Linked DNA regions of Lytechinus pictus. The protein of the gene in region 1 purifies or fractionates together with the protein of each later gene. This does not show direct contact. Links are inferred from orthologs where the notes say so. Each region holds a gene or a part of one and is shown in the gene's direction. Other genes may lie near its edges.

The links.
Region 2: the proteins of BET1 homolog (region 1) and Golgi SNAP receptor complex member 2-like purify together in Homo sapiens (affinity purification with mass spectrometry; 3 studies listed by BioGRID and IntAct, with this or other methods). This does not show direct contact. The link is inferred for Lytechinus pictus from reciprocal best matches to the Homo sapiens genes BET1 and GOSR2.

What each region holds. Positions count from the first base shown.
Region 1 is NC_087246.1:2,291,618-2,300,043, reverse strand, and holds the start of BET1 homolog, read left to right. Parts: upstream 1-5,077; 5' UTR 5,078-5,178; intron 5,179-8,426. Other genes in the region: transport and Golgi organization protein 2 homolog, read left to right, coding at 84-219. UniProt on the Homo sapiens protein: Required for vesicular transport from the ER to the Golgi complex. Functions as a SNARE involved in the docking process of ER-derived vesicles with the cis-Golgi membrane.
Region 2 is NC_087245.1:13,004,948-13,012,873, forward strand, and holds the start of Golgi SNAP receptor complex member 2-like, read left to right. Parts: upstream 1-4,264; 5' UTR 4,265-4,345; coding exon 4,346-4,374; intron 4,375-7,926. UniProt on the Homo sapiens protein: Involved in transport of proteins from the cis/medial-Golgi to the trans-Golgi network.

The sequences.
Region 1 (8,426 bases):
TTGCAGAATATAACCATGGAAAAAACAAAGGAGTTGATGATAAATATTGTGTTTTTGTATTATTATCACATTGTATCTGTCAGGTCTAGTACAGTGATAACCGTTGATGCTACAGGAGAAGTGGTCTACTCTGAGAAATCTTTGGAAGAACCCATTGACTCTTCAAATCTGAAATGGATAACAACCCAACACAGATTCCATCTTACATGTGATTTATGATGGATCTTTCAGAGTCTTCAATTATAGAACAGCCAAAGACAATGAATGAATTATAATCATCTTCATTACTTATCATAGCTGCAGAAAAAAAATGATCACAAAGTCTCCATTCAGGGATCAGAATGCTTTATTGTGAAATGGTAATTCTTTTTTATTTTCATGTCACCATTGTTTATTACATGTATTCTTTCTTAATCTACTTGCATTTCATATTGATTTAAATTTTATTATTTAATTTAATTATTAGATAAGGAAATTTGAATTTTATTTCTGTAGTTAATCAATGACCTGCTGTCAGATATGTCTTACAAAAACCACTGAAAGTACATTTCGTCAGTGATTTTACGAACTGGCGCAAACCTAATTTCGGCCAAATTTTTGAAATTTATTTTTTTGCATATTCTGAAAGCCTGTGATTTAATCTATTGATTTGCCAAATTTCAGATAAAAATTTGTATTATTTAAAAAAAAGGGCATATTTAATATTTGTACGTACCGGCTCAACCTCCTTTGATTTTATGAACTTGCTCAAACCATTCTTTGTGTACTATAAAGTCTCTGGAATGGTGCGCACAGGTCAAAGACCGACCTAGATGCGGCGCTTATGCCGGTGCGTATGTGCTTTGCGCAGGGTTTGTGCCTCTAAAAAAAACATACGCATGGCATGAATGATTTTACAAGCTGGCTCAAACCGTGGTTTGTGCCGCTAAACAGCAGTGGGCATGGTGCGCGTTATTTTACGAACTGGCTCAAACCCCCTGTTTTGGGTAAGAATTAGCAGCTCCTGAAATGCATACAAGCGCTTCCTTTTTAAATATTGAAAGAATAAATAAGAATTGCAAACAAAATTTTGTATATTACAAAAGAATAGACTGTATGCTTTAAATTGTTATAAATAATTGATCTGGTTTCTTTCAAAGCGCAAAGTTATGAGCTTCTGAAAAACATCGAAACTTTGAATGCAATTATCTGGAAATCATGTTTTGGAGACCAGCTGAGGTTTGAGCCAGTTTGTAAAATCACTGACGAATTTTCCATAGAAACTTTAATTGGTTTTTCTAGTTCTAGAATTAAGATCAATGTCACATTTCACAATATGCAAGGAGACGGGGAGTTGTGCTCCCTCTTTCTAGACACACTTGAATGTCCTTCTAGTAAAAAAGTGTTATGATGATTATGATAATGATGATGATGGTGGTGGTGGTGATGATGATGATGATGATGGTGTTGGTGGTTATAGTGATGGTGATGATGATGATGACAAACTACTTTTAAGTTAAAGCATATATACATATGAAAATCATAGAATTTACTTTTTATGCACGTTTACAGGGGAGGGGAGGGGACTAGGTGCTATTATAATTACAAGATATATATGCATTTTAAAAAAGTACCATAAATAATCTTACTTTGATTTTCAAAGTACCCAAATCATGTATTTTGTCATGCTTTCGTTAGCCTAAATAATGTCTAAAATATATGTTTTCATGTTAGGATGAAATATATACCCTTTCTATGCACCATACACACAAGGCTTTTTAAAGTATACATTTTATTCCTGATTTGGTTATGATACATTTCAAAGTACATCGCCCCACGGTGATAAACAACTCTCAGTATTTGTATGCTACTGTGGATGAGCATTGTGTCTACTGTGCACTATAATGGAATTGCCTGTATTGAATAACTAATGATAACTTATGAATATAACATTAGATACTTGAAAATTATTGATTCCAGTGTGTGAAAATGAAAGAATAAAATAAATGTAGGTATATGTATAATAATAATACTGTTTTACATGACTTTTTGTTGAGACTACAGTCATCTTGGTTGGCATGTTTTAATTCAACATTTATAAGTGTCATTCAGATGGTATTTAATTAGTTTTTTTAATGAAAAAAAAATTAAGGAAAAAATCTAGCCCGAAATCAATCCAACATGAATGAAAGTGAGTGATGGGTAATTTTACAATCAAGGTAACCCAACTGTCGCATTTGATTTTCTTTTGTGCATGTGTGTGTTATAAACAAGTGAAATGATATTTCTTTGAAATTTTGAGGCATATTATTTCTATAAAGATTCAGTCATGTAATTTCATGTGCTGACATTTGCTTTTTTTTTTTTTTTGAGAAGTAAGTGGATGTGGGCAACATTCTAAGTTTGTTGTATAAACAGCCAAACCTGCATTAGTGGCCACCTGTCTATAGCAGCCACCTGCCTGATGACTAGAGTGTCCACTAAAGCCAGTTCCCATAGAGGCAGATTGTGGGTGTAAGAACCCGTCTATAGCAATCCCCTGCTTATTCCCTTGAAGGCATATTGTGTGTATAAGAACCTATCTATAGCAACCCCTGCTTATAGTGACCACTAAAACTGATTCCCTTAGAGACAATTGTGTGTATAAGAACCTGTCTACAGCAACCCGTGCTTATAGTGACCACTAAAACTGATTCCCTTGGAGGCAGATTGTGTATGTAAGAATCTCTCTCTAGCAACCCCCTGCTTATTCCCTTGAAGGCAGATTGTGTGTATAAGAACCTGTCTATAGCAACCCCCTGCTTATAGTGACCACTAAAACTGATTCGAAGGCAATTGTGTGTATAAGAACCTGTCTATTGCAACCCCTGCTTATTACCTTGAAAGCAATTGTATAAGAACCTGTCTATAGCAACCCCCTGCTTATTACCTTGAAAGCAATTGTGTGTATAAGAAACTGTCTATAGCAACCCCCTGCCTATAGTGACCACTAAAACTGATTCCCTTTAGGCAGATTGTGTTTATTATAAGAACCTCTCTATAGCAACCCCCTGCTTATTCCCTTGAAGGCAGATTGTGTTTATGAGAACCTGTTATCTGTCTATAGCAACCTCCTGTCCATAAAGGCCACATTTTGTGTTTCCCTTGGGTGTCACTATGACAGGTTTCACTGCATAGACAAAAGCATTCGTAATTGATTCATGACTATGTGTAAAAATATCTAATTCAGAGCTAGAAAACATTTTTGGATAGAATTTGCACCCCATTTTTGGTTAATAGTCACCAAAAAATTTCAACATCTTTGGGGGAATTTCATTTTTCATTTTTGAATAAGGTTTGATTGGCAAAACAATGCCTGATTATTTCTAAAAATAGAATGTGCAGGCTCGAAATAAGGGAAAATTAAACTAAATGAGAGTAATTTTGGCCCTAAAATGCCTGCTAAAGGTAATATATAGAAAAGTAAACTTGTATTTCAATCATTTTCTTTGCAGGTTGCTCTGTAAAATAATATTTAAATTGTGAAGCAAAAGGTCACACAATTATTTCTCTAGTTATAGGAGATAAATCTTTTAATTACATATTCCATCGATTCATTTTTTGGAGAGGACGCTTTGGACAGAAATGGATTTGGCAACATAGGAACATGAACTACATGGCGCGATAGCTCAGTCGGTAGAGCGGGGGTTTCGAATTTTGGTGACCCGGGTTCGATTCCCAAGTGGTGCGCTAGTGCCCTTTGGTAAGGCATTTATCCTCATTACCAAGTCCCTCGGAGAGGACCTTAAGCCATTGGTCCCCTGGTTGCTTGCTCACAGGCATTCATGCTTTCTTAGCAGTCAGGTAAAAAACCTCGGTATAACTAAAATAAGTGGATGCGTGTGGGCAAAGTGGACACTTTAAAGGGGAAGTTCACCCTGACAAAAATTTTATTGTAAAAATAACACAAAGCACAACAGAAAATATTGTTGGAGGTTTGAGGAAAATCCATCAGAGATTTAGAGATGAATACCAGTTGTGGTAACGATCTCAAAATCAGTTCGAACAGAATCCAATAAAATTATCACCAAAGTGTTTGTATGTAGGTCCTATAATGAAAAAAGATGTTCCAAATATCTCTGGAAGAAAATGCGTAATTGCTGACAGAAGCGGATCTAGAGGGGGGGTTGGGGGGGTTGCAACCCCCCCAAAAAAAAAAAAATCCGGGGACCATTTTTTTAAATCTTATCTTTTTTTTTAAACTTGTAATTTTAGAAAACGCCATTTTCACACACAGATTTTCAAAAATTTTCCCTACTGTGGGAGGGGGGACACCCCCCTCCCACACCCTCCCCCCTCGCTCGCTCCGCTCGCTTGGACTCGGTCGCTACGCTCCCTCGCATACCACCCCAACCCCCCCTTTATAAAAAGCTGGATCCGCCCCTGGCTGAGAAATGAGCAAAATAAGCATGGAATTTCATAAAATGTCAGTTATTTTTCCAAGCAATATTAATACACTGTTATGGCTTGATGGTAAAAATTATCGGTTTTCAGCTAAAACTTCATGATTTCACAAAGATAAGTTATATCAATGTACCAGATCTCGATGTATGATAAGGTAATATTTTAACAATTAACCTTCAGACTTTTTCATTAAATAATTGTTTGCTTCAACTACTTTCTTTTACCCTTAAATTCTATGAGCATTTTAATTTTTTATTTTTGACATCACATGTGAGCATCTTCACATGTATCAAGAATTATGAAAAGTCAGTCGAATGTCACTTTCTCAAAGAAAAATTAAAAAGGGTTTTTAACAGGGACGTCCCCTTTTTTCAGTTACAAGTGTTAGCTTTGTAGACAAAACATTATTAATTAATTTCTAACTAGATCGAACTGTTATACATAAAAATACAGAATTAGGAGAGGACATTTTCAAACACCCAATTTTCGGTTAATAATAGTATCAGAAACAATCAAATTATCTGCATAATTGAATCAACAAATGGATTGCTGGTGAGGAGAGAGGGAAAAAATAGGAATTCTTGTCTACTATGTTCAAGTTTTTTTCCCCGATTATGTATAACTTTGCTATAGTACGGTATTACTGGTAATAAATAATCGGCTACGTTCAATTATTTCTGCTACGTGTTATTCAATTTGGTTGGCGAAAATAAAAGGGAATTTCGTATTTTGATTGCAGCCAGGAGGCGGATGTTTGTAAGTAGAACTATACAATCGGTATAATATTGTAGCTCTTGACTAATATTATAGATTGATGTGTTGGCTGACACTTGACAGTGAGGTTTTAAGTTTTGTAGAGCTTTGTTTGAGCCGTGGACACTTGAGTCGGAGACTGAGCTGATGCGCAGTGACTGATCTGTCCTGGCTGTGTCTGATGTGGCAATGCGCCACAACTGAGCCGTGGCGCGGCGGCAGCGCAGTGGGCGCTGGCCGGCGGGCACCTCAGGCGATGGTTCGTGTGTATGTAGACAGCTGGCAGACGTCTGTTTCGAGGAGTCTTTTAAACATTTTTAAAAATTTCTCATAATGAGTCATATGCAGACGGCTCGGATCATGCAGGTTAACAATGCAAAATCCCCCCGATCAATGTGCTCATCGATTTTTTACTTGGGCCCTAGTTATATTTTGTCTTTATTTCATTAAAAAATATAAGAAATAAGAAGAATTCAACTGGACCAAAATAAAGATTATTTTTCTGTTTTGGCCTGAAATGCACCAAAACGGGAAAAAAATAAACTTAAAAGGACAAAAACAGTGATTTACTTCGGCTGTCGCGCAACTCCCACTTTCTTGGTTTGTCCGAACTTAATATGGCCAGAGTTCCTGTAACGTTGCAGATCAAGTTAGAAGTAGCCTAGGTATATAGAACTTCTGTCTCTGTCAGGGTGACCAGATTTCACAAAATGAAATACGGGACAATCGACAAAGCACGCTGCACGAGCGGGTGGACCGAGCCAGGTCTTAAAGGACAAGTCCACCCCAACAAAAAGTTGATTTTAATAAAAAGAGAAAAATCCAACAAGCATAACACTGAAAATTTCTTCAAAATCAGATTTAACATAAGAAAGTTATGACATTTTAAAGTTTCGCTTAATTTCACAAAACAGTTATACATGTATGCACATCCTGGTCGGAATGCAAATGAGGAGACTGATGACGTCATCTACTCACTATTTCTTTTGTATTTTATTATTTGAAATATGAAATATTCTAATTTTCCCCTCATTGTCAAGTGAAACAACGATTAATTCCTCCCTGAACATGTGGAATTAGCATTGTTTAATGGTTCAGTCAAGTTGGCCCTTATTGTGAAATCTGTAAAATATGAAATATTGTATAATTCAAACAATAAAAACAAAATAAAAAGTGAGTGATTGACATCATCGACCGACTCATCTGCATGTCACTGAGTTGTGCATATCAATTATCACTGTTCTGTGAAAAATAAAGGAAACTTTAAAATTCCATAACTTTCTTATTCTACATCCGATTTTGATGAAATTTTCAGCATTATGCTAGTTTGATTTTTCTCTATTTATTCAAATCAACATTTTTCTGGGGTGGACTTGACCTTTAACAGGGCGCGACAAAACCGCTTGCCTGGGGGAAGTGAAAATGACCTGCGGGCAAGCATTTATCAAAGTCAATTGCCCGATCGGGCAAGTGGTTGTTTTGAAAATGAAAACGATATTACAGTAAATTTTAATAATTTTTCGATAAATTGCAATTATCGGCCAATTATCTCTCATAGTCATACAAAATGTCATACCAGTAAAAAAACAGTGGGAACATGTCAAATCAGCGCCAATTTACCGAAAATTTATCGCCAGCGGTCCTGTTCGATGGGGGCTGCCATCTTTATTTCTAAACTATACTGTGCGCATGCGCTACTAATTGACGAAGGAGCTAGCTGGGGAAACCCCTCTCTCGCCCTCTTAGCGCATGCTCTAATACATCGGCGCTACAGTACATGTACGTACGTACACGAGCGATCGCGAGCCAGCCGACTCTCGAGCTAGATCGCGCTGAATGCATGCAAGCTTCGGACTGACTCGGCCAGGACTCGGCATCAACTTCAAACCAAATAAACAATGAGTCGTCAGACTAAAATAGGTGACTTTTGTTGTCGCGATCGGCGACCAGAACAACTTGAACAAGAGTCAAGAAAAAGAAATGCCGAGGCCAGCGCCAGTAAATCAAGTTCAACCAGGACAGAAAAGAATAATTAAGAGCTAAAGAATTTTTGAAAAATATCGGGCAAGCAGTTTTTTCTATCGGGCAAGCAAATTTTTTATCACTTGCCCGACATGGGCAAGTGATGAAATTCTTTTTTGTAGAGGCCTGCTTTGTTAAAAAAAAGATGAACAAAGAAGGCTACACAGTGTTAGACTTCACTTGTGAAAAAAATATAAAGAATTGGAAGGGAGGGTGAACAAAAGAATGAAGGGGAGAAAGAAAAGACGAAAGAAAAGAGATGAATTGAGAAGAAAAACAAAATGAAGGGGGAAATGGAGAAAATTTAAAAGAAAGGTTAGAATAAAAGAAGAATGGAAGAAAGAATAAAAGAGAGAAAAAAGGTTTCCATCATTCTTTGAAATGAATATAGATAGAAAGAAAAAGAAAAAGAAATGAAGGAAAGATGAATAAATGTGTGAAAGAAAAAGTAAAGGAGAGAAAGGAAAAAAAAAGTAAGAAAAAAGGAGGAGGAAAGAAAGAATGAAAGAAATAAAACGGTTTCCTTCATTCTTTGAAAGAAAAAAAGAAAGAAGAAAAACAGGAATGGAGGAAGGAAGAAAGGAAGAAAGGAAGGGAAAGAAAGAATAATGGAAAAGAATTAGAAGGAAAAATAAAATAAAGAATGAAAGAAAGGATGAAAAAGAGGGAGAATAGTATGAAAAAAGAAAATAATGGAAGGAGAGAAAGAAGGAAAAGAAAAAGGAGAGGAAGGGAGAAGGATTTTTTTTTTTTTTTTTTTATATATTTCAAATAAAAAAAGTAAAATGTTTTAGAAATGAATAAAATTTCAAAGTGAAACATTGTCAAACTTAAAAAATAGATGAAACATCGCGGCCATACACAGGCATCACTCCCATCCCATTACAAGGTCGCAGCGATCACAAAAAGACTCAAAATGAAAGCTGAAACAACTAGATCTAGTTATATAAACTCAATAACTTGTTCCTCCGATTACATCTCCAAATCAGTAATCTGAGAATCCATAGTATAATTATAAATATTTCCCGCCGATTCCGTGTTTATTTTGGTGTAAAACTGTTTAACATGTGAGATTTTTTGCACCATTTAGAATCTGCTCTGATCCTACATGCCTAGCTAGTATAGCCTGCCACACACAGTCAGGAGGCCAGTTCGTTTGGAATGTTAATTGGGATAGCAAGAAAATTACCGCAGAACTTGCAAAAGTTTACAGTTATCGATTTTATTGT
Region 2 (7,926 bases), on another chromosome or scaffold:
ATCATTTGCATTAGTGAATGATTTTGTGGTATTGTTTACTACTCCTGTCTAATTGCCTGTATGTAGACCAGTCATGGTGTTATTATCTCCAAGCAATTGACAGCCGCAGGTATAGTGGCATTGTTATATTTACATTGTATGGCAATATTATTCAGACATTATATGCGTTATTTTTGCAATAATTGGATGATTACGCAGGAATAGTGGTATTGTTATATTTACATTTTATATATGGCAATATTGTTCAGATATCATTTGCATTATAAGTGGATGATTTGTTTACCACTCCTTTGTGATTTCCTGTGTGTAGACCAGTCATGGTGGAATTTATATTTATATTGCAAATGCAAATGTTGTTTTGATGCAATGTTATTGTTTATATTGGCATATATTTTGTTTATTATTTATTACAAGTATTGTTATATTGCCATTATCTTCATACATTATTTTGTTTTGGCATTGTTATTGCAATTTATCATCCTTTTTAGGGGGCAAAATTATGATTTTGTGATATTGTTAACACTCCTGTCTGATTGCCTGTGTGTAGAGTAGTCATGGTGTGATTTATCCCTAAGCAATCGATGATGCAGGGAACATGGGAGGCGCTCGGTTTGGGAAACTTTTTAGCCCCTGTCATTTGTCAGTTTACTGGCAAGTGACAGGGGCTGATTGCGACTCAGACCGGGCGTTCCTGCGTCATCTTTTGCTTGGAGATATAATCACTACATGACTTGTCTATACACAAGCAATCAGACAGGAGTGGTAACAATGTAACGAAGAGCCATCTTTATCTTGTTATTACACTATATTATGTTATTTATATTATTTCCCTATTGAAGTGTATATTATTTGATTATTAATATATATTAATTTTTATGCCCCTTATAAACTGTGTCTTGTGTCTTTATTTGTTAAAGGTGTATCATAATCATGAATGAAGATGAAAGCAAGAAATTCCTGATAATTTGTTAGTGAATTAAACTTGCATGAGAGAGGGGGGGGGGGTTATTGTTTGAGGTATATCTGTATAGTCAGAATTATGGGATTAAGAGTTGGCGTATTGTAGTGAGAGATATTCAGGGGTGAAAGTTGTCAGCACTGAGTAAACTGTCAGTGCTGACAATTTCAGTGAAATTCTCGGTTTTGATTAGCTGAGAGCACTGGCCTCTGTTACTATGGTAACTGTCGGAGAAAGTCATTTTTTTCAGAGCTGACAACTTTCATAAAGCGGTCCTCTGATTTTCATTATGTAGGTCATTGTTCCACTCATACGTAATAGGAGCATACATACACAGAGGAAATGGAACTTTTAATCTCAAGATGATGATAAGGTAAATTCCGAATTTGTCTATTGCCACTCATCACAAGGTCTACCTTCATTTAGTCTAATACCATCCTGTCCATTAACATTTCGTCAAATAACCATTTGGTCCCGTAATCACTTTGTCTAATCGCCAGAATTGGTCTATGACCATTTCGTCTCATAACCAGTTGGTCTATTTTTTTTTCATTCGTTTCGCCCAATAAATACTTGGTCCAATTAGACCAAATGTTATATGAACTAAATGGGTATTAGATGAAATGGCAATTGGACCATGTGGATAGTGGATAAACTGATGGTAGATTAGTTTGTAATTGGACGAATCAGCATTAGACCAATGTAAATTAAACGTATGATTGTGTTTTTTGTCCATCATGATTCACATAACATAACGCAAGGAAGAAATGATTGAAAGAATTTGTTGAAACTTATAATTATGACAAGATAATTTTGGTGTGCCTGCAGAAAAGCATGAATTGTTCACAATTATGCACTGTATTGTGGGATAGATTAATTTTCAAAAAGTCAATTTTCAAATCTCAAAAGTATTGGCATACAAAACACTGAGCAGATTGACTTGATTATTCTGAAAGAAAAAGCACACAAAATGAATTTTAATTGTTTTTTCATATTAATGTCTGCAAAGGCGACATATTTATTTTTTATCAGCTTGAATTATATTACATTGTCCAATTTCTCTTTCTGCTGTGTGTCACATGCCTCTATAGGTCAGACTAGTCATGTTTAACAATGATAATTATGATGGTGGAATATTTTAAAGCAGTCAGAAAAACAGTAATAGATATACCCAGGCCTTAACACAGATTTAAACTATGCTTCAATTTAATGAGAGCGCGAAATTTGTTGATATTATGGAAATCCCAACTGGAACCAGTTGGGCAACTGGAAATCCTAACTGGAACCAGTTGGGTAACTGGAAATGATTTCCAATTGGTTTCCAATTGGAAATTTTCCAGTTACCCAACTGGATCCAATTGAAACCAGTTAATTTGCATATTATCTGCCAGTGTGCACAGATTAATGTTTTATGAGATTCATCATCATTAACAATGTATCTATTTTTCTCTTTTCAATTACAAGTACCACACTTTTTAAAGATAAGTATTTAGAATACTTTGCAGTGAAAACCATGTTCATAAATGTTATAGATTATAATTAAAACAGATTAAAGGATAATTAGTACACCACTAACTGTTACCAAATTACATCAAATGAAAATACATATATTTGAAGATCTTCCATATAAATATATGTACATATGAAAGTCTGTATTTTATCAATGCCCTTTACATTGGTATTAATAGACATATAACACTGCTTCTGTGTTGGCATGAGCAATAGTTAGTGCAAATGCTAATTAATTTGTAACTAATCAAGTTCATTCCAACTGGAAGTTCCAATTGGTTCCAGTTGGAAACCAATTGGTTTCAACTGGTTCCAGTTCAGTGAAACCAGTTGCCTCCAATTGGTTTCAACTGGAACCAATTGAAACCAGTTGCCTCCAATTGGATTCAACTGGTTTTAATAGGGAAATTGGAACAACTGGAACCAATTGACACAAATTGCCAACTGGTTCCAGTTGCTCAATTGGTTTTAACTGGAACCAATTGGCAACTGGTTTTCAATTGGAACCAATTGGTTTTAACTGGAACCAATTGGCAACTGGTTTTCAATTGGAACCAGTTGTTCCAATTTCCCTATTGAAACCAGTTGGCCAACTGGTTTCAATTGGTTTTACCCTAATTGGTTTTAACTGGATTTTGGTCCTGGGATAAGGTCTGAAAACTGGAACTTTTAGAATTTTTAAGTATTGTCTTACGGCCAAGGAAACCTGTGCAGGAGAATATCTTTCATTGCACGCGCAGTTGCGGTATAGCGTGGTTTGCGTGCGTGTGAACCAACAGAATGCGATGCCACTGCGTTTGTTTTATAATTCTGAGAATGAAACCGCTATTACTTGCACTCTAAAAACATTTTACTCAATATTGGGTAGAAAGGGTACATGCATGTTTGCTGGGTATTTTTTTTTTACCCATTTGCAGAAAACTTTTGCCATAGAAAACTCTGGGAAATAAACAAAAACTCTGGCAAACAATTAAAATTATGCCTTTGAAACTTATACATTAAAAAACTTTGGCAAAAAATTGCCAGAGTTTTTTATGGCAAAAAAATTATGCAACGGGTCCATGGGTTCATATTGGGCTATTTCAGAGCAACATTGCATAATTTTTTTTTTATCCAACCAACATGCATGTTCCCATTTTACCCAATATCGGGTAAACCCTTTTTTAAAGTGTGACTTCTCTCTTATTAATTTTGGTTGCCTGAAAGAAAAAAATGTAGGTCTATATGATAAACCATGCACACACAATGTTAGGCATATTAAAGGTCAAGTCCATGCACCCAGGAAAATATTGATTTGAATAAATAGAAAAAAAATCAAACTATATAGCATAACGCTGAAAATTCCATCAAAATCGGACGCAAAATAAGAAAGTTATGACATTTATAAAGTTTCACTTATAGACAAAACAATTATGCACAACTCAGTAACGTGCAAATGATACTGTCGATGATGTCCTTCACTCACTATTTCTTTTGTTTTATTGTTTGAATTATACAATATTTCATTTTTTTTTTGTTTGACAAAAAGGACCAACTTTTTGTTAGGGTGGACTTGTCGTTTAACTATATATGTGGATTTTTTATTGTAAAATTTGCCTGGATTTTAATCAGTAATCTAGGAATAGGAGTCTAAATTTGTGATCTTGTGAAAGCGAAACCCCACCCCTAACTGTGAGAAGGGCTACTCCGACTCCACCCCTATAACTACTACCCCGCCCCTCTAGCTCTCGGCCCCGACCTCAATCGTAGTACGGGTCAACCGGTATTTTTATACAACGTGTACGTGTACCGGCCGTACTTCCGTTGCGTGATAAACAATCGAGCCACGGTGGACAATCGGATTCGGAGCTGACAAGCAAGGATAAACTTAAGTAAAAAATGGAGAAACTTTACCATGAAACAAATAAGTGAGTTAATTGCATCGAGACTAGATATATATGACCTAAAATTTTATGTGGGATATATGTCCGTAGACGATACAACTTATAAAAAGTGATTTCTCGATTGGTGTTCGAACCGAACATCTGGAAGTGGAACTATAGTATGAATAGTCCCACGTGTAAATAATGGTGTGACGGCCTACCCTTTTTAAAAAAGTTTTTCGACAACACCCGGACAAGTTAGATCTAACGTTAGTCATATCTTTATCCACCAACCACGGAGTTAGTTCCAATCTTTCTAAACCTGTTTCACGAAGGGCTTCCTAACTAGAATCCCTTGATATTGATAATATCAGTAGAAAGAGCAGACGAGACGTAGCCAGGGAGGCAGCCACTCACACAACATGCGAGGTACTAACCTTGCACAACACATGTGATTTCATAGTGCATTTTGACGTTTTCATTCATCACACGAATGTGAGGGACTAAACTACGCCAAGCCTTTCAATATTTGTCCACTATGTTAATCTTGATCGTATGATTTAAGTATAGGCCTATTTGAAAAAGGAATTATAAATTATTTATTAAGGTGTTTTTATCGCTTACCTCCAAATCTCAACCAGGATACTTCGTTCGATCCGTCCTTGGTCATCCTCATACTGCGGTGGAAATTACGCAAACAACAATCGAAATGCGAAATTTTCCTATCGAACATTCTCGATTCAAGTAGTAGGGGAGGGAGAAAGGAAAGAAAAGAAGGGAAAGGAAAAAGCGAGAAAGGGAACGGAGGGGGCGGGAAAGGAAAGGAGAGACAAGAAAAGACAGATCAGGGGAGGGGGAAAGGTAAAGGAGAGAGAGGGAAAAGGAGACCATAAAATAGAAAGAAAACAAAAGAAAGGAAGAGGGGAAGGGAGAGGGAAAGAAAAATGGAAAGAGCGAGAAAAGAGTAGGGGAGGGAGAAAGGAAATAAAAGAAGGGAAAGGAAAAGCGAAAAAGGGAAGGGAAAGGGAGAGAAGAAAAGAAGGGAGAACGAAAATGGGGAAAGGGAGAAGGAGAGGGGATGATGAAGGGGATAGGAAAATGTCAAGTTTGAAGATCTGAATATTAACACTAAAACAAAATTAGACTCCCATGTTTTATTTATAAAAATACCATCTTTTTCATGATTATAAAGGTTCAACGTCCCTGTTCTAGGTCTAAACTTTAACATAAATCTACTGGCGCTTCGCGCTTGAATTCTGGAGGTCATTCCTCTTTTAAAAGTATAGGTAATCTGTCGGACTTTTCAAATCCCAAATTTAAATCTTAAGCGCAAATGCCCTCGCATTATTTTTCATTTAGATACAAGTCCTGTCATCAATATAAAAAACTCTAAGCGCGAGCTTCACGCTGGCATCATTTTTGTAAGTGACATTTATGATGTTGTTCATATTTTAAAAATGTCCATTTGTTGAGGTTTAAATGTCCAAAAGTTCAGCGCTCGCATAATTTGTAAGGTAAATAGGCCTACCCTTTTAATTGTTATACAAAGGCGCTTATACAACGTCCAGAATGCAGTTCGGAATATTGAAAATAACTATTGGTCCCGCTATTTCTGCCCTTGCGACAAGCATTTATCATTTTGAATCATGAGATTCACCTTTAAAATATGATGAAAAAGTATCGTTAAGACTGAATTAAGAAAAAAAGAAGCTCACGTTTCACGCTCGCATTTTGATCCGTTAGCTTGTGATAATGATGGTGACTTCGTTAATATATCTTAGCGGACATGTCTACCTTTTGGTGCTTCAAGAAAAATAAACACAACACACAAATAATAGAAAACGAACAAGAATAGAATAGATAGTTACCTATTCCACTCATGAATTCTTATTTAACAGTCCCCAAAACGTTTTTTTTTCGTGTTAGCTTATTTCATATACATATATATATATATATATATATATATATATATAAACCTTGATTTAAGCTACGCCTACCATTGTTCTCTTCATCCATTTCTTTCACACAATATATATATATATATATAGGTCTCCTCATCATGGTTATAAAAAGTGCTCAGAATGTTTTATTTTCAAGTCCTTGTATCAGAATTTTCAGCTCGGGCAGCTCTATCGCACTTTGATTACTATCCTGTTGATTTATTTACTTGAACAAAATATTTAAAATGTCCAGCCTTTAGAACAGATATCAAAAAAAGGTATTCACCTTTGATCATAGATGAGGAAGAAGAAAAAAGTGCAAAAAAATAGGAAACAAACTAACGAATTAATGTGACATAATTTTTCTTCATTTCAAGGCGACTCTTTACATTTCATCATCGCTGATGGCGCTACAATCGCTTGACAGCAAAAAAAAGCACAGAAAGAGGAAAATAATGCTGAGCGTCTAAAATGCAGCTAGCAGTACAAGCTGCAGAACCGTAAACAAACATCTTGTGAATAATATCGCGCGCCCTCTTTAAGCAAAAGTTTACAACCACGATGACCCTGCGGTATCTACGTGAAGATCACGAGAAAATGCTTTTTTTTTCTTAAAAACACACCAAAGAGAAGACAAGAAACGATCCATATGGTTCGGTAAGTGTCATAGCACAATTAGAAACATTATTTTAAAAGGAATGGCATAGTTATTTTAGTAAAAAGGGTGTGAAAAATTCGCGTGCACCATGTGCATATGAATCCTTCGCACGCGAAGGGCTGATGATGTCACATCCCCACTTGTTCTTTTGTATTTTATTATATGAAATTAGGTTTATTCAAATTTTTTTCTCCAAGAACGAGAAAACTTGGATCTACTACTGATTCAGTGCATTACATATTTATTGCTGCAACTTATTTCATTATAAGGGAGACATTTTATTCACACAAGTATGAAATAATGAAAAAAATATTATTTTATGTAATAACATGAGAAAATGGAAAGTGGGGATGTGACATCACCTAATGAATCTTCATGATGACTGTTTTCACAAAATATTGCTAAAATTTAAACTTCAATAACTTTATTATTTGTTATCCGATTTTGATGTACATTTCGGTATTTTGCTCAGTGAATTCTACTCTATGTATTAAGATATAAATATTTTCAGCCTGGACCATCCCTTTAAGAGCCAAATTATATGATGATTTATAGCTGTAATGGAATCCGACAGTGTCAAACAATTAAGCATTTGCTCCAAAGGAAAAGAGAAAATAAGCCAAACATTGCCAACCTTATTTTGCCACATATGGAGTACTAAGTGAAAACAAGGTTATATCATAACCTTGTTCATTGAATGAGTGAACCGGGGGGGGGGGGGGGGGGGGGGGGCACTCAGTATATAATGCATAGTAGGTATGAGCCACGGAGGGGATCCCCATTTTCACACTCAAATTTCCGTTCCAAGGCATAGCATTTTTGTCTTATTGAGAAAAAGAACAAAGAAAGCCGCTCCAAAGCATAGCATTTTCTTATTGGTGGTGATTTTTTTTTTACCTGATTGCTAAGAAAGCATGAATGCTTGTAAGCAAGCAACCAACTTATCGAGACAAAAGAAGAAAGAAATCCGCTCCAAAGCTTCGCATATTTTCCGTCCGC